2 linked regions of the Styela clava genome follow. The protein of the gene in region 2 interacts with the protein of the main gene of each other region in a biochemical or structural test. Links are inferred from orthologs where the notes say so. Each region holds a gene or a part of one and is shown on either strand. Other genes may lie near its edges. The genes, in order: TGF-beta-activated kinase 1 and MAP3K7-binding protein 1-like and mitogen-activated protein kinase kinase kinase 7-like.

Region 1 (13,401 bases), on a different chromosome or scaffold from region 2:
ATTCTTGAATATTAAATTCTATATCGCAGAATATAGATCAAGAACATCATAGCAAAACAAATATACAAGATTTCTAGACAACTATCTTGAGGTTAACTGTTTGCAAAACAATTGCTGTCATGAATATCCACATGCCGCAGTACAAAAGCTAAAGTGACTTGTACTATTAGCGCAAAATGCAGGCTCGCCGTTCATTTTAGCACGAGAAACGTACACAACACTTCGCATAAAACGTGTATCGGTAGAAAATTTTAGCCTATTTTATCACAGACAACTTTTGATTACTGCAATTAAGGGGCTCCCGAAGTATGCGAACCAAGATGGCGGACATCGGAATGTAACATGTGTACTAGGTTAGGGTTAGGCCATAATTTTAGGTATGAATACTACGGGAGGCTCTTGGCTAGTCTTCGAACTGATAATAGGACTAAAATAAGGAAAATTGGAAAAAAATTATCGCCTAACCCTAACCTGTTACCCATGTTACGTTCCGATGGCCGCCATCTTGGTTCGCATACTTCGGGAGCACCGCAATTAAACTACAACTTCTGAAAAGACAAAATTATGATTGACTTATTTCATTTATACTTAAGTTTCGGAATCGCGATCAAAAACGTATAGCATTCAAAATCGCGAAAACGAGGTATTGTTTGAAACCACGACTGAAAATCTGTCCGAGTGACAAAAGTGTCTATTCAAAAGGGTCTATTGTTACGTCATTTTTTGCATCTTGCTGATTGGCCAATGTTACAAAATGAACAAGGAAGTCGTTGCTCGGGGAAACATCCATTGGAAAAAAACGCCATTTTTCTTAGTGTTATTGCGGGCCAGATGAAAGGACGCCACGGGCCAGTCAGTGGCGTGCCTAGAGGGTGGCGAAAGGCAGCCGCCCCGGGCAGCACGTTGTAAAATAACAAATTAGTAATTATCAAGTTAGAGTTAAGGGTGAGGAAAGATTTCAGTTTCCATCGCAATCTACATTTCTAACCCTATCTAGATAACTACTGTTTTTTTTTTCTTGTTTTTTTTGAGCGGGGGTGTTTTTTGACGAGATATTGTACAAAAGATCCCAAATGCCTTGTCAAGATGGAACACTGACACAAAAATAATACTTCTTTTTCCAACTCGATTTTATTTCAGTATTTTTTTTAAACAAGAAAAGTTATTTTGTAATTCCAAACAGTTTCTTCTCAACATTCAGTATGTTCCTAATCGAGTTGTCCGTTAGAGTGCGTCGTGCTGTTCAAATTAAAAAATACAGTATATATATTTTATATGTATGTTTATGGTGTAGCGAATGTGGAATATACCTATAAATTCAAAAGTATTTCATTTCTGGGTGTGAATAGCATGTTGAATTCAATGAAAATAGGCCATTTCAGAATTCTCTTCAACTTTTTACTTAAAGTTTCAATCCTGTTCTAACCTGGAATATATTTCGTTCTGTTACGATAACTTCAACTTTAAGGACAGATTTTGAAACTAGCAGAAAGACTATTCAAACAGAACTTTTCTCCTATGGGACGGCTTTAGGTTATTCCCTCCCATCCGTATTTTTCCTAACAGAGTTAACTTGAATTATATCAGGTTTTGTTTACCTGTTATTCACTTACATCTTTTTGGCAACAATACAGGGTGTCTTAAAAGTAAATATATACTTACCATCAATATTTTGTATTTCTTGTGAGATTCCCAACAATCCCCCTGAAATTAATAAAACTGAATTTTGATTCCATACGCAAGACCATACGCTAGACAGAAGTCAAAATATGTTGTCTGGAAGGACGAAACCTTTCCGGTTCGGCTGCAATGCTGAAAAGTCAAGTCTAACGCTCTAGCTGAATGTTGATATGAAGAGAATTACATTCTGTACAGGTTTTTACTTATCGATTTCAATCGGTAAGTACGTTGATAGGTATTTGTCTGTCTGTATGTCTGTTTGTTTGTCTGTTAGATGCACGCGATATCTCACGAAAGCGGACCAGAAGCCTATTGATTTTGGGCGAATTATGTCGTATAATTAGAGAGTTATTAATTATTTAGTGATGGGAAACAAGGTGTCACTATGGAGTAAGAGCGCTGTTTTGGGGGATCCCCTAACTTTCGATCGAGAAGTCTTCGGTCTCTGACCGATATTCTCGTTTGTACCTTTGCGGCTGCAAAATTGCATTTTTTGCTGTGATGGAAATTGAAAACAAAACCGAGGACAACTTCTTAGAATTGACGTACCGTCGTTGAAACATGTAACATTAATTTTGTCAAATGTAATAATATTTAAAACTTTTATTGGTGATAAATGCGCTGCCACGTTGTGGAACCACTACTCTAGCCGCTAGGCTACGGTCATCTTTATATGATGCCAGGAAAGTAAAATATCCCTAAATTATTTACAAACAAATTTATAACATTATTACCTGGCGTTGATGGATCAAGCTCAACTCCGGAACCTAAAATTAAAAGTTACCGATAAGTAACGTTTGACGTGACCTGGTCAGAAAAACAGGCCTAGAGATGCACGGAGTAGCTCTTTAGAAGTCTGATGTGAAGCTCTTTAAGATTGGATTTAAAGATTTATGCCGGAGAATAACTCGTTGGCTTGAACCTTGCATTGTATAAAGAAGATTGCATTAGCATCTCTGTTGCAAAGTAAGTTTATGTGCAGACGGTGGTCTTGATCAAAAATTCCATAGTCGTTAAATATTTCAACTGATTATTGAACAATGCAATGAAACTATAAAATACTCACTCGTGACAAATGTTGATGAACCCCCTGAAATATATTTGATAAATTGAAAAACGGCAAAATAAAACCAAAAGTGTAATACCACTAATAGGAAATTTCGCACTCGAGGCGCATACATGATCATAAGCTAAAATTGTGCTTTCTCCGTGCCTAAATGTCTGTTTTTTTGCGCTAAAAATCCAGTCAAATGGGTAACAGGATGTCGAAGTCGTTTTTTAATCGATGTTATTCAGATTGAACTACTTTTTCTCTGCAAATATAGTATCCAGAATTGGCCTTGAACTTCGCAACGTTCAGCAAGATTCTGCAAATACAGTGACGTGCTGAATAGATAACTTATTGGGGAAAGCTGTTGTTTTAACAATTTCATGTTTTTTCTATCGATCCTGTTTTTTTACCATTTGTCCAGAGATTCATTAAGAAGGAAGGTATGGAACATCCAAGAGCGTAGCCAGCCCACAATTTGAATTTTGGGGGCAATTTTGTTTTGTATAACGACGTTATTAGACGCTTACTCGTGTCTTTTGCTTGGAATGTTGTGTCCCTGACACTGACTAATGAACTATACAAGCATCCAGCTTGATAGAAACATCAAGTTTAATGAAACATCAGTTTAATGAAAACAAACAATAACACCGCTTAGCAAGCAAACTTAGAACAGCGTACCAATCCACTAATATTTCGTTTCGTTCATTAGGGGGAAGGATTAATGTACAGTTATCCTGGAAACATCCGGTTTTCAGCAAATTGTTAGGGAATAGAGCAAAATGGTGTTAAAAAATGGTGTCTTACTGCAAACGCTGCAGAAATGCAGTTCAAGTAAAATGTGAATTTTTTTTTAAGCGGGGGGACATAGCCAATGGGGATATCCCGTAAAATACCTGATCATTGTATTGAATTAAAGTCAAACCTCCCGATCCTTCGCTTTGCATGGCTTCAACTAATCTTGTCATTTCGCTGAAGAAGTCTTTCATAGACTTATAATTTGCGTCTAGATAGTTGTATCTGGCTTCGGGCGAGTCAGGTACTGTTGGAGACAGGTAATTACCATCGAAAATGTCCAAACTGTCTTCGCATCTGGCAAGTGTGAAAACGACCCATAAGAATGCTATTTTGAAACAATACATTGCTTCAGTTGTCGCACGTTGACTAATCTTTACTTAATCTAAATATTTAATCGAAAAAAAAAATTCAGTTGAGGCACTCAAGAACATGAATAATATTTTTTTCTGAGCTTCTGCAACTCTTCTTTGCTATCTTTTAATAAATTTCATTCAATTATCTTTTGCAGCGGTTCCCAAAACGCGGCTCGCGGGCCAATTACGACCCGCCGTTTCGGGCGAAACGTTACAGAAATATATTTGTGTTAGTGTGCAGCAAGACTCTTGAATCACTTAACAAAAATCGTATTGTAAAAATTTGATCTATAAATATCAATACCAGTGGTTCTAAAAAGTTTTAGGCCGCGCTTCCCTTTTTAGAATTTGTCAAGTCTCGCGCGTGCCCCCAAAGTGACTAGCTAACAATAAGCTACAAATAACAGATAGCAAGGCGAATGTTTTATTCGAAAAACAGGTTGAACATACGTGAATGGAACGTTAATATCCATAATAATAAAATGTGAATATCAAACAAATATTTTTTAGTTAGCTTCCCGCCCACCAAAAAATTGTCTACGTCTTACTTGCGGGCGCGCCCCGTTTGAGAACTAGTTGTCTATACGCCTTCTTTCAATTAATAACTTCACGGACTAGCACTCTGTCAAATATCATGAGTATGAATAGCAGTAGTCCCAAATAGTATTAAAATTTTAAAATTTTACAACAAATCATTTATCTTTTACCACTTGGCGAATAAGTCCTCGCTAAACTGAAAATTCTTGGATATCTTCGTAGTTATTTCGCAAAAGTATTAACCATATTGAAGTATACGCAATGTTACTACGCTGTTCGGTATTATAATATATCATAACCACCACCGCACAATGTGCGGTGAGATAGCACTGAAACAAAGTAGGGCCTACAGCCAGTCGCAACAACAATACAAACAACAATATGTTCAACACACGTAAGATTACTACGTTATTCAATAAAATTGTTTTAGCATATGGGCAAACATACATCCAAAGAATAGCTGTATGGAGCCTATTGTATGGAGATGTACTATTACCACTGGTAATTCAAGTAAAAAATTATTTTCCAATATTTTATTTGTTGGTTTGTGTGAGGCTGACACACATGGCAGGCACCCTTTCCTCCTCGCATCTCTCCCCGAATCAAGTAAGTTTCAACCAGTACAAAACAAATTGTGTACAAATAACCAGAAAATAGCACTTACAGTTTTAGTGGGGAAGAAAAGCCGCAGGAAACCCAAAACATGTTGACTAAGCAGCGATATTCAAGGTGCGAATGCTTTTAAAATTGCTGAGTTATGGAGTATGAAAAAACATTGGTGTTCAGTAATACTATTTCTATAATTAAATTACCCGATCTTTTTAACTAGATATTAGAAGCTTACGTGTCGCTGCTCGATAACTAGAATTAGTTTTCCGTCTGGAATTAAATAAGTAAGTAAGTTTCGGTATTGTTGTGAGAAACACTTCAAACGGTTGTTCTCGGCTGGCGTTCGTTATTCGAAACTTCTTGCTTAAAAGAAGCGATGAGATTGGACGGAAATTTGAAGTTTCAATTTTTCTTCGACTGCTCTGGGGCTTCGTTGTTTTTCTCACCTTATATATATATAATTTATATTTTTTATTCACCCCACGCTTGCTTGCTACGCACGTCGTTTCTTCTTTTCATCGTCACATTCTAAAAACACATTTCAGGTGTTCTCATAATGTCTTCAGGCAGCGACACCTGAATTGTATTATATTTTTTGCATAATATTTTCTTGCTTGCACTCCGGCAGCACGATTGTACCATTTCGTGACCAACTTTCCTTCTGGTCCTTTGCCTGCTGGTCGGGCCTATTTCCTCTCTCCTCGACCAGTCTGCTGGTAGCGTCCCTTGCTCGGCGCTCCTCTCTTGTGCGGATCAGCCTGCCTGCCATTTCTTTTCTCGGCCGCCTTTCCTCTCGTCTTGTCTGCTGAGCATATCCTGGTGGCTGGGTCTGCTGCCCTTTCTTTCCTCGGTGCACGTGCTGGTCCTCTACTGCAGCTCGGTCTGCCTTTTCTTTTCTTGACGACCTGCCTGTCTTGTCTGGCGGTGCTATCCTGCGGCTTTGTCTGCTATCTCCTTCATCGACGGGCCCGCTGGTTCTTCCTCCCTATCCTGCGGCTGGGTATGCTATCTCTTTGCTCTGCGCATCTGCTGGTCTCCTCTTCTACGGCTCACAGCCCGTCTGTCCTTTCTTTTCTCGACCACCTGGCTAACCTGTCTGCTGGCCCTCTGCTACAACTCGATCCACCCCGTGAGTTTCGAACCTGCGCTCGTGCCTGACCTGATGTTTGACAACGTCTCTGCGTTTCTCCTGCGCCACCGTCACTTACAAGGACCGAGCTGGCCAGAAACTTGGTTATTTAACAACGTCACGCTTAGCAGCCCACGACAAAACTAATTACCCCGAAATAATTATTACTTTAAACATACTGCGTTGATTCGAAGCAGGTGTATTCACGTTTTAATGTATGCTAAGTCGTTCAACTGGGACTATAGTGTGCGCTCCTGTAACTCTTAAATGTGCGGATTTGGAAAATAATATGATATCCTGTTTCTAATCGTGGTTCAGTTTAGTTCTTTTTATAAAAAAAAGGAACAGTAATTCTGCAATCATTGTCGATAATGTGCGTTAGATAATTAAAAGAGCGAATCCGTAAACCCCAATTCTGACTGTCAGTAAAGGAATACAAAGACTGGAAGACGATTCATCGATTTGATCATTTTTTACCTCTTGTGCTAACTGACCGCCCTATATCTGGTTTACTGTTTCTAAATTTAATAAACATCTCACGAAAAATCTTGAAATTGGCGCGGCGTTATGTTCTTTTACAGAATAAAACGATATTATACAAACTGGTAATAAAACGAAAAACCCGACAAGTTTTGCCCAGTGACAGGTAAAACATGCCATCCCGCCTAATGCACTAAAAATGAAACGCAGTAAATTGCGCGTGCGATGTACCTTTCTATTCGCTCAGTATCTGCGTCAAAGCCACACGCCATATTTTTCCGGATTATGATGAAATATAATCTAATCAATGTAAAGTAGCCTATGGTCGATCAGTTTCTAATATACTAAAATAAATGCATAACCGTAGGATTTTATAGCAGATCTTCTTCATTTCTATATTTCCCTGTGAAGGTTCATATCCGAATATCTACCTTCATATTCATTTACGTCGTGGAAAACTAATAAACAATATGAAATAAATAAAATGCATGAAACAAATTACAGAAACAGATATCGGCTTGTTGCAGTGGACGAGGTGTCGCGAAAAACTCATCAGTCCACAAGTCAACCAGTCAACGACACTTTGAAGCAGCAAATATAGCAACGGAAGAACCCAATATTAAACATTTACCTAATTAGACACAATAATATGATTAATAACAATAAAAAGAATAAGAAATAAACTACAGATGCCACAATGACTATGGAATATTACCTAAATGCTTACTTAGTAATTAGACACAATCATACAAAAAGAACAACAAAAATTCAAATTAAACTTCGAAATGCCACAACACCTATCTGTTTTGAGCATTAGCATGATTGATTAGTTTGATATTTTTTGCAGGGGGGGGGGGGGAGCCTAATTCCTTATCTGGTGTACCACGGCCCCCCGTCAGATTACGACCAGTTTATGCAGGGTAGGAGATCAGTTAGCCAGATATTTGTTCCAGTTGCATGGGCTTGTTTGGGATTTTCTTGGTCGAATAAGCCTAATCGTTTCTTAACTCTCATTTGGAATTATCAAAAATAAAATTTTTAGGTACAAAAATTTACAAATGTTTTTTTTTTATGTAGATTACGCAAGTCGTTATTTTAAATCCGGTTTTGACTGAGTATAAAATTTAGAAATATTAAATAAAAAATAATTATTAGATTCTTGGTTGTTATTATTCATATTATTGGTAAACTGTTATTTATGTTATGCAATTAATTTTTCATTTCAAGTCTCAAGTATATTTTATGTCTGTCCCATTTGTGTTATGTAAATACGGCTATAGACTCCGGTCATCGAGAACATTGTTTTTGCACTTGTTTTGCCGTCGAACGGGCCGCCCTTTAATGCTCAGCTGATTCCCAGATTAGGTGCTAACGTTTACTTATGTCTGTATTTGAAAAAAAATTTATTGTGAATTAACATAAAATATATAGTGCACTAGTGCAGTACCGATAGTCCTAGATAAGGATACGAGAGAGAGAGAAATTTATTTTTCGTAAACCAGAAAAAAAATACGGAAATAGCAAACAATAAAAAGTTATTCAGTATAGACTGCTACCGGTACTAGACTAGACTACGAGCTACTGAACTGCGACGTTTTTTGATCCACTATGGCTTCTATTTCTGTATTTATAAAATTAGGCCTCTATCTGTCTATAGCCTGTACAGCTGTACGGTTCTCCAATTTCAAGAATGGTCCCCACATTGAAATACATAAATTAGGATAAAACGGTGAGTGCAAACCTCTGGTTTACGAGACAGTTTGGGCCCCATAAATAGGCATATTTCAGTAATTTGGCAAACCAGTTCTGCGCAATAAACTAAAAGAAAGCACAATCTAAAACCTCACCATAGGATTCCTCATAAAAAAATGTATTGATGAAAAATTTTTTACAGTAGCATATAAATATATTTTGGTTTTCTCGTAAAAAATATCATACACAAAAACCAAACAATGAATGCACAGAAGATTAGGAAAATTGGGGGAACTGGCAAAACCTCTATAAAGGTTTAATGCAAGTAAATATACATGCAAACATGCTGCATAAATATGCACACGAGCGTTTTCAGCAAAATGAACACAATTTTGGTCTTGTGACGGCCACGTTCAATTTAGATCATTATCGAGACGAGCATGGTGCAATCTGACGCATCCGCCATCATGCCAGACTCACTCGTTTCAGGATCAAATAGAGTATTTGTTTAATTGAACAAATAGTCTGGCAATCTTGGAATCGAAGAACTGTGTCCTTCTGATTGCCAATGATGTTTTCGTTATAACCATTGCTATGAAACATTCAGACATTAGCCAAAATACAGCAGTGAGACGTAAAGTTTTCAAACTTATTATAAAACTGTGAACTATGAATTATACAAATTTAATTTGAACTTTTCAAATTAATGTTGAAAAGTAAATATTAAAAACATTCATAAGCCACCATTTTTGGCAGCGCCAGATCCAACTATTAGGAGGAGCTGCATTAAACACAGTGACCCTGCGGCTCCAGCTCTGGGTAAATATCTCTTTATCATCTCAATTTGAAGGGGCACTACATATTGACGCATCGTGCTAATCTTCAGGAATATGCTGACCACCGCATCTCTGGTTATCCTGATTGGGTTTGCAGGTTCAAATCTCATGCAGGGTTAATTATGTGCGAGAGGATTGCTGGACTCCACATCCAGTACAGCACACTATCCAAATTCCAAGAATTTGCCTCAATAAAACAAACACTCCATGTGTCTCATAAACGAGGGGCGTCTGGGACCACGACAGATGCTTCATATTGCGCCATGCTTGTCTCAATAATAATCTAAATTAATCGCGGCCGTCACATGACCAAAATTGTTGTTTTTTGCTAAAAACTCTCGAATGCTACGAAAAAAAATTTTTCTTTGGTAAATCAGATTATTTTTTCTCAAGGAATTCAATGATGACGATACTAGATTGCGCTTTTTTGTAGTATTTTGCGCAACTTCATCATACTGTATTATTACTAATATTGAGGGACAACAATGTCCAGATGTCTCCCGAAGGAGGGGTCTGATCATCTAAAAGTAGGGTTTTTCTGAAACGGGACAATGTCACCCGATTTGTATAGTGTGCCGTACTGACATTGCCGGAGGGTGGTTCCATAACCCCTCTCCACGATCAATTACATGCTTCCGAAATAAAATAACTGGCTAACCAATCCCATACCTGACATGGACAGGTAGCCCGACGAGAGACTGTGGGTTGCCATATTATTAAACTTTTTATAGGGTGTGCTCGTCCCTATGATAAATATGTAAATCCTACCCATATTATAGACTACTAGACCAGTAAATAAATCAACTTCCGAAGTTGGAATAAATTTTTAAAATAGGAACACTCTTTATTTTGCGATTACAGTTAAAATCTAAAAGATGGCGACTGCTGCGCCTTTACGGCCTCCACAGGGAAGTACACATTCGTCCACGAGTTCGTCATCGCCCAGCGTTCATCGTAGAATGCTTAATCGATCTGGTGTTAGTTGGACGGATGATTTACCAGTCTGTAATTTGTCGGATATTGGAATAGCTCCGAACGTTGTCTATCTTCAGGATGGTAAAACAATGGAAGCTCATCAGTATGCCGACTTTTCTTTCAATTTCAGGTTGGTAAAGATGTTTAAAATGAGTGCAGCAAGTCTCATGAATTGAATAGAATAGCCATTTACACTCTTGCTACAGCATCCTAACGTAATACACATACGGATCCACCTGCGCAAAGGCATAGAGAGCAAGGAAAGGTAGTTAGTTTCACGCAACCTCAACTGTTAGTAAAATTTGTACGTTGTTGTTTTGTTCTGTAAAGCTTTTTTGAATAGAAATATCAAATTTTTATAATTCAAATTGATTTTATTCAAAAATTATTATTTCAATCAGTGGTTATATGACAGTCAAAAAAATGCAGTCATTCTATATTCAAATATGTAAATCATTTGAGATATTTTGTACTCTGTCTGTCTGGTGCAAGATTTCAGGAGTGAAGTTGAATGTTTTATTAAAATCGAAATAATTTTGAAATGCCAAATCCAACTATCTTTGCATTGGTTGGTTCTTCAATAGCTTTGTTTGCTAGTTGACCATGTAGTGATGACTCATGTTTATTGAAGTCCTTGTCATTGTTATATTTAGCAGATTCAATGAATTTATTGTTTATTGGATGACGCATATTTCAGCATTTTTATGTTGAACCAGTTATGTGTGACCAATGGCCGAGATGTATCATGATTATGAATATAGATAGTTCTATATGGGTTCTTTAGTAATACAGGCAGTTATAATCATTACTTATTGATCTTTAGATCGGTAAGTATGTTGATAGGTATTTGTCTGTCTGTCTGTCTGTCTGTTACATGCATGCAATATCTCAAGAAGGTGTGGTTGAATCTGCTCCAAATTTTGCATGTGCATTCATCATATCTCGGACCAGAAGCCTATTGATTATGAATGAATTCTGTCGTATAATTAGCGAGTTATCAATTAATTAGTGATGGGACACGCAGTATCACTATAGAGTCATGAATCGAATCCGCAGTTTCGATCGATAAGTCTTCGGTCTCCGACCGATATTCTCATTTAAATATTTGTCACAAAATTTTTCAAAACCTATAATCTACTACGGTAATTTAGTAGTGGGCAAGGTTTTCGGACCAGGGCATCATAATGAGAGTGACATGGAAGTTACATTTCATGAACAATATTTACAGTGTTTCAAAACTGAAAGTGGAAAACTTAATTTTATCGCTATCTCAACAAATTCCTTGAGCTAAAACATCAAAATTTGGTTTTGGCAGCGTCAGGCGGGCCAAATCGAATTACCCAGTCGGCCGGATTTAGCCCATGGGCCAAAGTTTGCCTATATGTCAGATCTATTTTATTGCCAATTAGCGACTTTTTCGACATACTGGACATGGGTTCTTTTCCAGATTTTTCAACTGGCCGTGTTCATCATTCTAAATATCTGAATATTCTCATCATGGTTCTATAGTCTGAAGTAATTCTGCCATGCTGTACATTCAAATTAATATTTCAATAGGTTTACATTTTGTTGTACATTATTCATGGTAAAAGTCACTTAGTAACTTTTGAAATTTATTCCAGATTCTCTTTGATTTTGACACAGAAAGACATTTAATTGGGGCCTCCAGCGGGTTCCCTTACTTTTTCTATTCATAGTTTTTGCGCATTTCACTCTGTATAAGGAGTTACTAGATTTTGGGAAGAAAATAATTTTATTTGGTTTGGCATTTCTTATCTAATTTATTACACCTTGGGTGGCCGTAGCTGCATGGGATTGTCTGATGTTATTACTTATCGATTTTAATCGCTAAGTATGATGATTGGTATTTGTCTGTATGTATGTCTGTTAGATGCACGCGATAAAGCGAGATTGAATCTGCTCCAGATTTTGCATTTGCATTCATCATATCTCGGACCAGAAGCCTAGATTTTAATGAAAATTTGAGCTTCTTTCACTGGACTTTTGAGTTTGGTCATGTGGTGGTATCAATAAGCTTGTACATTTTCTATAGCATAAGCATAGAGCGATGCTTATGGGCCTGTTTTACAGTAAGCCATGGTACAAACTACAAACTGCTAAATTTAACATGGTTTGTCTAATCTTAGATGATTTGTACATCCATCCTCTACCATACCTCAGCGACCCCACCGACTCCATGACCTGTTTGCAACCCTACCTAATTATCACTCCGACCCAATTTGGGGTCGCGACCCCTGGTTTGGGAACCCCTGTATTAGACTCTCAGTGAGGGGATAAGAATGATTGATAAACTTAGGACAGGATTTACATATTTCACCTGTGAGAAAGGAAAGTTGATAAGACGGCTCAATCATATGATTGACCTTCGATTCGACCTATGGTGAATAAAAAAAAAACAAGAAGAAAGCCGATAGGACAGCTTAATCATATGGCGAACCACGGCCTCTTATCCGGTTACCGTTCCATGTCGGGTATGGGATTAGTTAGCCAGGTGTTTGTTTCCGGAAGCATGGACCTGATAGGGGAGGAAGGTGTAACCGATCAGCAGTTACGTGAACCAACCTACGGTGGCGAGGAGTGTAGAAATCCATGGGATTTGAACCTGCGAACACGCAGGGCTGTGGCGAGCATATTTCTAGCTCTTAGCATGTTGCGCCACACCATTTAACCTGATATGTCATTATAGTTAATCCGGACGCTTTAGCCATCTCGCTTAGTAATGAAATATGTTACAGTTTATTTGTCTACATTGCAAACATTTCTAGTTGCAATCACTCATAATTTAGTCCTGTCTCATATTAGATCAAGTTGTATTTCAATAACTAGAGAGTAGTGTTTACCGATGTGCTCAGAAACAAAGTTTTCAGTCTATAGGTGACTCATTTTTATGCACATGAATTTCAAAATTTTTTTTGTATGTGGACTTTGAACGGGCTATTCCAAGTGACACTACAAGACAATTCCAGAAATTTTTCATGTTGTTAGATGCAATATATTTTTACATTTTCAGCTACATGTTTTGTTTTATTGTCCAATCAGTTGCTTTATTGAATATGTAAAAAAAAAATTGCACAAAAGTTAAAACCAAGACATACTTAGTGGATATAAAAAATAACGTAAAATATAGTGTGACAACACAGGACAGCAAATCCACCTTGCACTAACAGTACTTATGCTGTAATTTTTTGCGATGGTACAGCAGGAGCCCATAATATTTTCTGGTGCAGTAGCTGAAGGAGCTCT
Region 2 (13,002 bases):
TATTTTCGTAAAAATATTGCTTCGACTAATCTAAGTTTTTTCTACGGAAGGCCGAAAAAGGGAAAAGTTAGAAAACGTGTGTAGTGAATAGTGATATTCGTTTGTTCTAGGTTATTTTAATACAGGGATGTTCAAATCGAATTTAATATTCGCGACCTCAGAATATTGTTTTTCGTGTTTAAAAGAATACCGAATATGATGCACATATCCTAACACCGTCGTCCACGTTTTGATTTGAAAACCTTTTATAATTATTTTATTTTTTATCGCAATCGAAGGCAGCCTGAACATATTCTGAAAGGGGTCATGTCCAAGAAAGGAGCACATAGAAGTCAATGTATATTTGATAGCTTGAATTTAGAAAAGCAGGAAAGTTAAGATAAAGAGTTCCCTGTATTCTTAGGGTTTCAGAACTAAGCTTTGTGAGACTGCTCAATATTATTATTATTATTATCCAAATAATCAAAGAATTAAAATGAAAAAAAATACAAACAATTCAATTCATTTTGGCGTACTACTTCAGGGTGTTAAAAAAAGTTACGCAAAATTAAGGAACAATTTTTCGTCATGGCAACGTTAAAAAACTAACTGTTGAAAAGTGTCAGACATGAAATGTTTAAATGGCATTTCACTGTAATTCAATACTGTTAAAAGGTTACAGGTTAAATGTTTTAAGAAGCATTTCATCTTAACTTCTGTTAATTTTGCGTTACTTTTTTAACACCCTGTTTTTAAATGTATCTTCATATCGCAGAAGTAGAACTAAATTTGCTTATGTCACATTTTAAAGTTTCGAGGAAATCTTTTGTAATTTTCAGAACTGTAAAGTCAAACACGAAAATGGACACAAAGCGCTGCCTAAAATAAAAACTAAAACAGGTATAGCTTTGAAACTTGGACCAAAAGATGGTCGGTCCTTGGTCCATCATGACAGAAGATCAAAAAAGCCAATTTCTGAAAATGTGACATAAGCTCCTTAGGTTTTGCTGTGGCAATACGATTAAGTTATATCAGCTTTTTATATCCAAAATAAAAATTCATTCATCTCACCTGTCTTTGTATATTAGGCACAGATTGTGATGTCACCATTGGTGGTCTATCATGATTGGTCATATTAGGATTTGTAATGTGTGTCTTCCTCAGGGTGTCGCTGATTGTACTGTATGTTGTTCCATACCCTCTGAATAATAAGGACATAAATTAAATAAAGCAGAGCAAAATTACCTGCCTAACAGGATACTTGAACAAGATGTAGTCGACAAAATTGCAGGATTCCACATAATAAATGTTGTATCGAACCTTTATTGGACTGCTTAGTGTTAGTAAAATAGGATTTACATAATTATCCTTGGAAAGAGGGAAGATAAGACAGCGTAATCATATGGCGAACCACGGCCTCTTGTCCGGTTACCAATGTCGGGTATGGGAATAGGTATTCAGTTATTTTTCTATATCTTATCAAACATCCTTGTGACACAGGTCCATATCTAGCAGTACAAGAAACATGGAATGTAGAATAGACGGTTTGTCACATGGCGCTGAGCACATTTAAATAAAAATGCTAATATTTGTGGGCTAGTCGGCATAGCGCAGTGGCACCCAACAAATTTCACCCAAGCTATTCACCATCTTTTTTTGTCCCCTGAGATAAATATGAGATCAAATTATATATAGAAATATTCAGTGTTCACCTGTCACTGCCGGTTTCATAATAATCAGACTCTTCATCACTGTCAGAGTATTGTGGAAATACAAGGGGAACATCAGAACCACGGAAATACGGCATCAATTCTGTCATTGCATATACAACATCATTCATACTTGGACGGGAACTCGGATTTTTTGACCAACATCTGGAACAAGAAATAATATTAGGTTTTCATTGAATTTAAAAAAGACTCAACTAAAGCTGAATAGTATGGAAAACATCTTGTAGCCAGATATTTTGATTTCTGTACCTAAAAATCCTGAAAAATGGATTCTACATAAAATGTTTTCTATGGTTTACTAGAGCAGGGCTGTGGTGTCAAAGATAATTTACCATCAACCAAGACTTGAGAAAAAATATCTTCTCTTGAACTTGACTCGGAGAAAATCAAACTTTGGTGACAAACACATTGAAATATCCAAACCTTTATTGATAGACTGTTGTCAGGACCACATAGTAAACTTAATGCTTGAAGTTTTGTGAAAATTTATAGCAAACTCGCACCCACCTTGTCATTAGTTCCTCAATAGGTTTTGGGCATCCCTGTATTAATGGCGGCCTCGTACCGGTATGAACTGCCCACATGATGCGAAATGCTGGACCTCCCAACTCATCAAATGGTTTTCTTCGAGTTAAGACCTGTCAACAATGTTGTATATTAGAAAAAACTTAAAGAGAAAGAATATATCATAACCATGGGCACAATATCCGAGTAGTTAGAGCACCCGATTTTACACGTTGGCACAGCAGAACTAGTCAGATCTTGGTCCTTATAAAACTAATAAATTCTCATTCCCAGTTGCTGAATGTACATTGCATTGTTTGAATTGAAGCTTAGAAAACGACTTTTAAACTCTCCCTATACTTATTCAAACTGTGGCACAAAAAAAAGAGCAAAATCCAAATTCTACCTCCCAGAGTATGATTCCCCAGCTGAAGACATCACATCTCTCACTGTATTGACATCCTTCAAATACTTCAGGAGCCATCCATGCCGCTGAACCCTGTGCAAAAGAATGGTTTGATACTTTTAATTTTTTTATGAATGAAATTAAGGGCACTCACTCAGAAATTAAAAAGACGCATTTCTGAGCAAAGTTATGAGCACACACTCAGAAGTATTGAGAATCATCTATGAGCAAAGTTATGGGCACTCACTCACTCAGAAGCAAAGAAGACTCATCTCTGAGCAAAGTTATGAGCACTCACTCAGAAGTAAATGAGAATCATCTATGAGCAAAGTTACGTGCACTCACTCACTCAGAAGCAAAGAAGACTCATCTCTGAGCAAAGTTATAGGCACTCACTCACTCAGAAGCAAAGAAGACTCATCTCTGAGCAAAGTTATGGGCACTTACTCAGAAGTAAATGAGAATCCTCTCTGAGCAAAGTTACGTGCACTAAGTTATGTGTCAGAAGTAAATGAGAATCATCTCTAGACAAAGATACACTCGCTCACTCCAAAGTAAAAGTGACTCAGCTCTGAGCAAGTTTTAAGATTTTATGGTAAATTGTTATTGGTTTGGCTGCGATGTGAAACTGGAAAGCTGACAACATCGCTTGCTTATTACCAGTTGCGCACAGATTACTATGACTAGGCTTCCTCTCATATTTCCCTCACAATGGGGATAAACACAAAACCCATCTCATAATGAAAATACATGAATCCCTACCTTGTTATTAGTCATCTGTGTGTGAATGTCACAGGCAGTGCCAAAGTCACAGATCTTCAGAACGAGTCCTTGGTTCGTCAGAAGTAAACTGAACAGTAAAATAATAGGATTCAAAGCTGTTTGAAAGGATTTTCTCAAGTTGGAGTATGCGGCCTAAATCAGTGATTCTCGAACATTACAGCACCTCATTCATCGTCATCACTCGGAGAAATAATTAGAAAAAAAAAATATCTTACTTTGGGGGTTTCAGGTCTCTATGTATCAGAGCTTTTGGTTTCATATTATGAAGATAAGCGACACCTTTTGCACATTGTAAACACCAACTCATCCCATGGCCCCCGGTGTAGTGGGGGAGAGGCCCTGCCCCATGCAGCACTGAAAAGTATAGAATTATGCTAGTTTATATAGAGGTGCCAAACATACTTTTTGCAATGAAAAATTTTATTTTTTTTATTCTACAGTAACAGGTATTTGATTGATCTATGGGCATGTAAAAAAGATCAATTGTGTCTGTGGAAGCCCATAGATTCAAACCAACAGTTAAACGAGAATATCGGTCAGAGACCGAAGACTTATCGATCGAAAGTTAGGGGATCCCCCAAAACAGCGCTCCTACTCCATAGTGACACCTTGTGTCCCATCACTAATTAATTAATAACTCGCTAATTATACAACATAATTCATCCAAAATCAATAGGCTTCTGGTACAACATATGATGAATGCACATGCAAAATCTGGAGCAGATTCAATCTCGCTTTCGTGAGATATCGCGTGTATCTTACAGACAGACAGAAAAACAGACAGACAAATACCTATCAACATACTTACCGATTAAAATCGATAGGTAACAAGCTAAAATGCTAATATAAACATTATATTATTACTTTTCAACTTTCAACGACTATAGTTTTTATGATTATGAATTTCTGATGAAAATAACGTTATATTGGCCTTGATTCTTACATCACATAAACGTTAGCCAAGCTGTTGTGAAAAACTTATTTCAATTCATAGGTTTTCATATTAAATCTTGTGCCTCGGGCCCGGTAACCAAGTCTATTGTCAATAATTGGCCCACTCAGAAAAATAGTTGTACAACCCTGGCTTGTCTATCTGGCATATTTCAATTATTACCATGGCAAACTTTTAAATGAAAAATTTAATTTTTTTTTCAAGTCTATAAAATATAAATCCCATCGAATACAGTTAATTCCAAATACTTGAATTTCCAATTTATATCTACTTTACTTACAGTCATACAGAGATCCACACTCTGCCAGTTCCATAACAAGAGACACAGGGTTACTGCAGGCACCATACAGACGAATGATATTAGGATGTGAAACTCTGGAAATAATAGTTCGATTAGGGCTGGGAATAGTCAGAATCGCAATGAAACAAACCTACTCATATCCTCACATATAAGCAGAGTTTGATACGAAAAGAAAGTTGCCAAACAAACTAAGGGGTCACCTTAAAGCCGCATAACTTTGATCGCACTAAAAACCTGGCTTGTACGCGCATAACTCTATTCGCGCTAAGCGTACGGAATGTTACGATTGGTAGGGCCGGTATATATGAGAATTTTTATAAATTCACCATTTTGAGATCGTTTTTAATGGGTCGGCTTGTATGTGAGGATATTAATGTGCATTGTGTTTATTTTGTTTCATACTGTTTTTTTCATATCTACAGCACTAAACTTGGTAATTGGTTAATAAAATCACAGGACCTATTAATCATATTAGTTATGACTTTTCGGGCACTTCAGATTTTTGATATAAACATGGCATCATTAAAGATTTATATTTCATGAGTCTGAGTCAGGGGTTTCAAAATCTTTTTTGAAATTTTGAAGATCAATTTGCGATCAAAACGAGTTGTGCAATAAAGCTAATTTACACAATAACATATAAATATAATATAAGAAACAATGTAAGTTATATAAAGTGCTGGAATAACATGCCAAATCAAACCTTGAGAGCTGCCTCAATTCTGTAATGAAGGCTCGACGTTCGTTCTCAGATTCAATCTTCTTCACAGCGACAGGATGTTGGCGATAAACAGCTTCATAAACTACGCCGAAAGCTCCTTTGCCAATCGTCTGAAAAGTAAAGATGAAACGGAATATGAAGATGCGGATGGACACCATAATGTACAGTTCTCTGATTAAAAGAATAGCCCGCACATGAAAGACATCAATTACAACAGTGAGTGCAAACTCTTCCCTTACGAGACAGGCTGGGCCTCCATATCGAATCAAAACACAATAAACTAAACTAAAAGAAAGTGCAATTTAAAAACATCACCATTGGATTCCTTGAAAATATAATAATCTAATCTAATAATCTATCTGAGGAAAAAATCTTTTACCGAAGCATTCGAAAGTTTTTAGCAAGTAAAAGCAATTTTGGTCACAAATTATTACCAAGACAAGCTCAACACAATCTGACACATGTGTTGTCGTGCCAGACATCTTCGTTTCAGGGACCAATAGAGTTTTGTTTTATTGAAGCAAAGTTCGGGACATCTTGGAATCAGGGAACTGTGCCCCACTGTGAATAATACTTTTATTTTCACATTAAAAATGATTTAGAATTTCTCAATCACAGAAATAAAGTTTTACCAACTTAGCAAACCGGGATACTCACATTCCCCAATTTCATTTCTTCATATTTTATTTCCTCAATAAATCCAGGCGGAGATTCCGCATATACGACATGAGCCATCGCTGCTCAGCTGTTCGACCTCGCTGCAACCAGTGCCACATACAAGAGAAAACCTGGACGACCCGCCACCTAAGCTGGTTCGAATGTTTATTTCTCTTTTTTACTAAGTACTTTTTACCTACGCTCCCATGTACGGTGACTGAACATCAGCAAAGAAATAGGATAAAACTCAACACAACCACACAATTTCTCCAACATATTCAAGACAAATATTTTACTTAAGATGTGAAAGGAGTCGCATTTGGTGATCAACGATTATCTTCTGATCCCAAGCGTATGAAATGGAAAATGTAGCGATAACATGAAAATTGAGAATGAATCAAGCTGATAGGATAAAATTTACATATTAAACCCTGGGAAGAGAAATGCCGATAAGACGGCTTAACCATATTGCAAACCACGGCCTCTCGTCCGGTTACTCCAACCAACCTGGCACACATACTTATTTTTTATTTCCGATGTTGCCTACTACATCAGTTCTAAATTAACTTCTTCAAAAACATTGCACGAAATTTTTCATGTTTCAGATTTTGATATGATTATGAGGATAGGATAGAATTCACATATTTATCCCTGGGGAGAGGAGAGTCGATAAGACGGCTTATCCATATGGCGAACCACGGCCTCTCCATTCGGTCCAGTTACCATTCCAAGTCGGGTATTAGATTAGTTAGTTATTGTTAATGGTTATTAGGACTTGGTGGTGGAGGAACGACCAGCGGTTACGTGAACTTTTTCATGTTTCAGATTTTGATATGATTATGAGGATAGGATAGAATTCACATATTTATCCCTGGGGAGAGGAGAGTCGATAAGACGGCTTATCCATATGGCGAACCACGGCCTCTCCATTCGGTCCAGTTACCATTCCAAGTCGGGTATTAGATTAGTTAGTTATTGTTAATGGTTATTAGGACTTGGTGGTGGAGGAACGACCAGCGGTTACGTGAACCACCCAACGACGGCGAGGAGTCAAGCAATCCTCTCGCACATAACTATCCCTGCATGGGATTCGAACCTGCGAACCCACGCAAAGTAATTAGAGGTGCAGTGGCGAGCGTATTCCTAACGCTTAGCCCGTTGAGCCACACCGCCGCGTTAGTTTGACGATTGCTAGTGTAGAATGTTGACTCTCGCTGATATGCACCGTCACTACCTTAGAAATAAATTAACCTATATTAATTAAGGCTGTTAAACGCTGTTTTTCTACGGTAAATTGAAACAAAAATCGAAACCATCCTATTTCAGAAGATTCCTTCGATATTAACGTGATGAGGGTATTACAAGCGACTGCAAGTTACGGCCCCAAAGCTAACCGCACAAAAAGGCCGAGTAGAATCCTTATTAAATCATTTTATAATTTGCTTGATCTCAATATTTCATTTACATATAGCAAATAGATTAATATCGTGCTTTTGGCGGCCCCATCCGGTATTTTATTCGAGGTACCGCAGTTTGAAATCTCATATTACACGCTTCGGTAGTTGGATATGATGTCATAATTGACATTTTTGGCGGCCGAAGCGTCTGTGAAGCGCGCCATTTCTTTACAATTTCTGGCTGTGGGTGGTCAGAAGAATTGGTGAAACGAGAATCGGTAAACTGGTATATGAAAAATTATTGTTCATATAAAGTCTTTGCAATGCAAAAAATGGGGTGTTAATCAGCTGGATATTAGCGACATAAACTCGGTATAAGAGATTTACTTCAAGAACGTTTTGCATCGTAGACTACATCGCGTGAGTGATTTCTCAGTATTTGATATAGTTTTCATGCGAGTTCCGAAGTTCTGTAGTCTGCTGTTAACTTGGGATTTATCTATTGGGCACTTAGATAGGATACCAGCATATGTTACTGCATCCTCCACCATCAAGTTCATGCACCTTGCACCTTAAAACAAGTGACCGGTCATACTATGGGGGGGACAAGGTTTATGGACTGGACCACGTAATCGCAATCTCAACAAATTCTATGAGCTATTTTTTTTTATCTAAAAAATATCAATTTGGTTTTAGTTTGGTTGTGGCAGCATCTGACGTACCAGTTTGAACTATCCAATGGGTCGTGTCATGATTATACTGATCCTATGTGATAAAGCTCGACCAATATTACTTCTTGTCGCCGATATCAATATATCGGCCAACCGGTAGCGTATAATCAATATCGCTATGCCGATATTAATATAAATCATATTTTGAGCCTCGCTTTTATGAAGCACCTCGTGAGTCTGTATTTTGATTTTTATTATCATTGCATTGAGACTTTTATTTAAATAATTCCAGTTAATGCTCGAACAAATGTTATTCTGTAACTTGTCCTGCTACTTCAATATCAGTCTAGCTATTTCCAGGAAAAAGAATTGTTAACCCTTTCCGTGCAATTTTTATTTTTTATTAAATAATCGTATTTGCTACGCCGATTTTATGCATTTGTACCCCCACAACTAATCGATCGACTAACGAAAAACTAATGATCCTCTGCTGCCCACTGACGGCTCGTTGGAAAGCTTATTTAAAGAGCTTTCAATTGGCAATTATAAAAAAAAGTTTTTCTAAAATTGGTGGTCTGAGTCACAAACCGGATAGAAAAAAGGCATTTTTTTTTCGTAGGAGTTGAAACTTCAAACCACAATAAAAAATAGAAATATTCGCTCAAAATACTTTGGTAGATGGAAGGGATAATATGTCTTCTATTACCACCCAAAAAACACCGAAATTTGCATAAATTTCAGAAACACTCTCTCGTTCCGCCGCAAATAAAATTCCCGTCGTAAACGAAAGCGAGATTTACCGTCGCTTATGTTAATCTCGAAGAAGACTTCTTATCAATAAACTAAAACCTGGAAAAACTAGACCAACAGTTTGCGACCGATTGCTAACTAAAACAGTGGAGTACATCAATGTACCCACCGCAATCTAGCGACCTTTGTCGTTGGTACGTATACGTGCCCACCGCACGGAAAGGGTTAATCTGACGTTTTTAAATATAACTGTGGACACATGTTAATAAGGGTATTAAAAAATTATAAATTGATATATTTCAAAGTGAATCGTGATAATGATAAATTTCTTCAATATTGTGATAGCATATGTTCAGTTACATGTGGAATTTTTAATAACTTTGTTTCCAGAGACTCTCAATACCTTATTTAGTCAATAATAATGAATTAGGTTTTTATTTTGTAATTTTCAGCAAAATGATAAACAACCATCAATATAAACAAAACTGCTACCCCAGAAATTCAAAATTGAATTTGGGAATGTCACAAATTCGGAACTGACATTATTGCTTTGAGATACCTGTGCCATGTTTCTATGATCACTAACTCACCAGCTTCCAATCGATTCTATTTATAGAACCACCGTTTAATGCTGTTACTAAGTTTGCCTTTCTCTCATTGTGTACTCTCTCAAAAACGTCACTTTATGAAACGTCATTGTTACAACTTTTCAGTTATGACCATGCATGAAATGGCTAATCATAAGACACCGGGAATTAGGAGAGACACCTTCATAACGCAAAATGAAAGCGAGAGGAATATTGAGAAACCAGTTACACAGGGGCGAGAGCCGTTGTGGCACGCAGCCCGGCGCTAGCCGATATATATCGGCTGATATGATATATCGGCAAACACGCAATATCGGCCCTATATATCGGTCGAGCTCTACTATGCGGTAACCAGACAAGAGACAGTGGTTCGGCATATATTTATTGACTTTGGATAGGATAGGATTTACATATTTATCCCGGGTGAGAGGAAAGCTGATAAGACGGCTTATCCATATGGCGAACCACGGCCTATCGTCCGGTTACCATTCCGAGTCGGGTATGGGATTAGTTATATTGTTTTGTTTTCGGAAGCTTTCATGCGGGTTGAATATGTACATCTCTATTCTTAAGGGAGAAGTACAGCTGTGCTTGTGTACCGGCAAGCAGGCTAGTACTGTATTGAAGAGATAAATATATATTGGCGTGGCGGTGTGGCTCATCGTGCTAAGCGTTAGGAATACGCTCGCCACCACACCTCTGATTACTCTGCGTGGGTTCGAATCCCATGCAGGGATGGTTATGTGAAAGAGGATTGCTGGACTCCTCGCCGCCATAGGGTGGTTAACGTAACCGCTGGTCGGTTATGGCTTCCTCTACCATCAAGTCCATGCTTCCGAAAACAATTAACTAACTAATCCCATACCCGACATGGAATGGTAACAGGACGAGAGGCCTCGGTTCGCCGTATGGTCAAGTCGTCCTATCAAGCCTCTTACCCAGGATAAATATGTAAATCCTAAATAAATAGGATAAACTTGTTATTTTTCAAAGTACCGGTATATTTGTTAGCTTTAGTTAGCGCTGTTTGATTAGGTCATATCATATTGTGGAACTATCAATTAGCGAAAGCTTATATATTTCGTGGAGAAAAAATATGTTTTCTAATTTGTCTGTTTTTGGTTGCTATTTTAGTTATTATTTAATTCGACCATTTTCATGTACAACGTAAATAAGCATATAACGTAAATCTGTTGCAGTTCAGAACTTTTAGTAAATTGTTAGAAATGGCATATCGGAGAAGATGCATGAATGTTCTGGGCTCATGGATAAGCATACAAAGTAGTATTCGTGTTATGTTCTGAATTGGAGTAGATATGAAACATTAGGCAAAGGGTTAGAGTAAGCATATGAAGTGGGATTCATGGTATGTTCTGGGTTAGGATAGATATAAAACTTTGGGCAAATGGTTAGTGTAAGCATATGAAGTGGGATTCATGGTATGTTCTGGGTTAGGATAGATATAAAACTTTAGGCAAATGGTTAGAGTAAGCATATGAAGTGGGATTCATGGTATGTTATGGGTTGGTATAGATATAGAACTTCATGCAAATGGTTAGAGTAAGCATATGAAGTGGGATTCATGGTATGTTATGGGTTGGTATAGATATAGAACTTCATGCAAATAGTTAGAGTAAGCATATGAAGTGGGATTCATGGTATGTTATAGGTTGGGATAGATATAAAACTTGAACCAAATGGTTAGATTAATTCTGAGTTGGATGGATATAAAACTTTAGGCAAATGGTTAGAGTAAGCATATGAAGTGGGATTCATGGTATGTTCTGGGTTAGGATAGATATAAAACGTTAAGCAAATGGTTAGAGTAAGCATATGAAGTGGGATTCATGGTATGTTCTGGGTTAGGATAGCTATAAAAACGTTAAGCAAATGGTTGGAGTAAGCATATGAAGTGGGATTCATGGTATGTTCTGGGTTAGGATAGATATAAAACGTTAAGCAAATGGTTAGAGTAAGCATATGAAGTGGAATTTATGATATGTTCTAGGTTGGGATAGATATAAGAAGTTAAGCAAATGGTTATAGTAAACATACACGGTATGTTCTAGATTTAGGACAGATGTAATACCTTAGGCCAGGGGTCACCAAACTTTTTTGACCGCGGGCCGGGTATGACTCAAACTATGTTGAAACGGGCCGGATGAATATTTTTGTCAATGCAATAAAATTGGGAAATTCATTCAACAATATAAATTCTACATTTCTGAAGACTTAAATATTAAATTCCACCTATATCGCAGAATACAGATCGAGAACATCCCATGAAAACAAATATACAAGATTTCTATATCTAGACAACTATCCTGAGTTTAGCTGTTATTAGAACGTTGCTGTCATGAATTAGGAATGTTACAAAATCTGCTTTTTCGCGCCAAAAAATGTACGCAACACGTCTGACTATTACCGTTACGCCGTGTTGGAATACCGTTCATGAAAACGACTACGGATTGCCTGCTGTATCTTGGAATTCCATGAAATTGACATAATTTAGATAAAATAAATAACTATTATCTGGTATTTGAATTTTTTCATTAGCGCATAAAATATCCCAACATTCGGAGCTTCTGAAAATTACGCTCCAGTTATACGTAGTGCAAATTAATGATAGTGTCTATGGACACCAATAAAATTTATATGGACGTGTGTATTTCGTGCCTAGCTTGATACTTACCAATTTTTATGAAGTTTGTACAATCAGAACATCGTTAATTATTACCCACAATTAACCACTGTCAAACTATCATGCACAACTCCAGCGTTTATTTGCGACGGTGGCGGTGCCAATGACCGTTGCCAGAATAGAATCCTGAAATAGTCTCAATATTCCAACGATGTGACGCACATCGAAAGATTGGTGTTTGATAAGTGTTCTTTTTTCATATTTATTACAGTTCTTATCAAAAAAGTAATACAATCCTCATGGTAATAATTGGCCTGTCGGGCGGTACTAAAACTCCGTTATTTCTTGACCGTTTTTATAAAATAATTTCTTAAACATTTTATAAAATGTTGCGTGCCGGTAGAGAATTTTAGCCTATTTTATCACAGCTATTTTTAGACTAATTTTTCATTACTATACTAATAAAAAATAAAACTACAACTCCTAAGGAGGCAAATGATGATTGACTTATTTGATTCATACTCCCAATTTCCGAAACACAACCAAAGACTAACGAATAGCATTCAAAGCCGCAAAAACGAAGTATTGTTCACAACCACGACTGAGAATCTGTCAGGGTGACAAAAGTGTCTGAGAGGATGCGAAAAGGTCTATTAATAAGTCACTTTTTTGCATCTTGCTGATTGGCCTAGGTTACAAAATAAACAAGGAAGACGATGATGGGGAAAATCTCCCTCGGTAAAAAATTTAGCCAATTTTGCGTATTATTGCGGGCCGGAGCCGGCCTGCGGGCCGTAGTTTGGTGACCCCTGCCTTAGGCAAATGGCTAGGGTAAGCATATGAAGTGGGATTCATGGTATGTTCTGGGTTGGAAAAGATATAAAACTTGAACCAAATGGTTAGAGTAAGCATATGAAGTGGAA

What was found.
Region 1: of the proteins of mitogen-activated protein kinase kinase kinase 7-like (region 2) and TGF-beta-activated kinase 1 and MAP3K7-binding protein 1-like, one has a biochemical effect on the other in vitro, tested with the Homo sapiens proteins (4 studies listed by BioGRID and IntAct). The link is inferred for Styela clava from reciprocal best matches to the Homo sapiens genes MAP3K7 and TAB1.

Annotation. Positions count from the first base shown.
Region 1 is NC_135253.1:22,517,357-22,530,757, reverse strand, and holds the start of TGF-beta-activated kinase 1 and MAP3K7-binding protein 1-like, read left to right. Parts: upstream 1-8,344; 5' UTR 8,345-8,363; intron 8,364-10,023; 5' UTR 10,024-10,037; coding exon 10,038-10,267; intron 10,268-13,401. Other genes in the region: uncharacterized protein LOC144421899, read right to left, coding at 1,163-1,239, 1,663-1,704, 2,415-2,447, 2,747-2,770, 3,654-3,870. UniProt on the Homo sapiens protein: Key adapter protein that plays an essential role in JNK and NF-kappa-B activation and proinflammatory cytokines production in response to stimulation with TLRs and cytokines.
Region 2 is NC_135259.1:21,783,099-21,796,100, forward strand, and holds the start of mitogen-activated protein kinase kinase kinase 7-like, read right to left. Parts: upstream 6,302-13,002; 5' UTR 6,112-6,301; coding exon 6,034-6,111; intron 5,487-6,033; coding exon 5,359-5,486; intron 4,730-5,358; coding exon 4,635-4,729; intron 3,757-4,634; coding exon 3,618-3,756; intron 3,470-3,617; coding exon 3,382-3,469; intron 2,713-3,381; coding exon 2,620-2,712; intron 2,348-2,619; coding exon 2,217-2,347; intron 1,854-2,216; coding exon 1,692-1,853; intron 1,181-1,691; coding exon 1,051-1,180; intron 1-1,050. UniProt on the Homo sapiens protein: Serine/threonine kinase which acts as an essential component of the MAP kinase signal transduction pathway. Plays an important role in the cascades of cellular responses evoked by changes in the environment.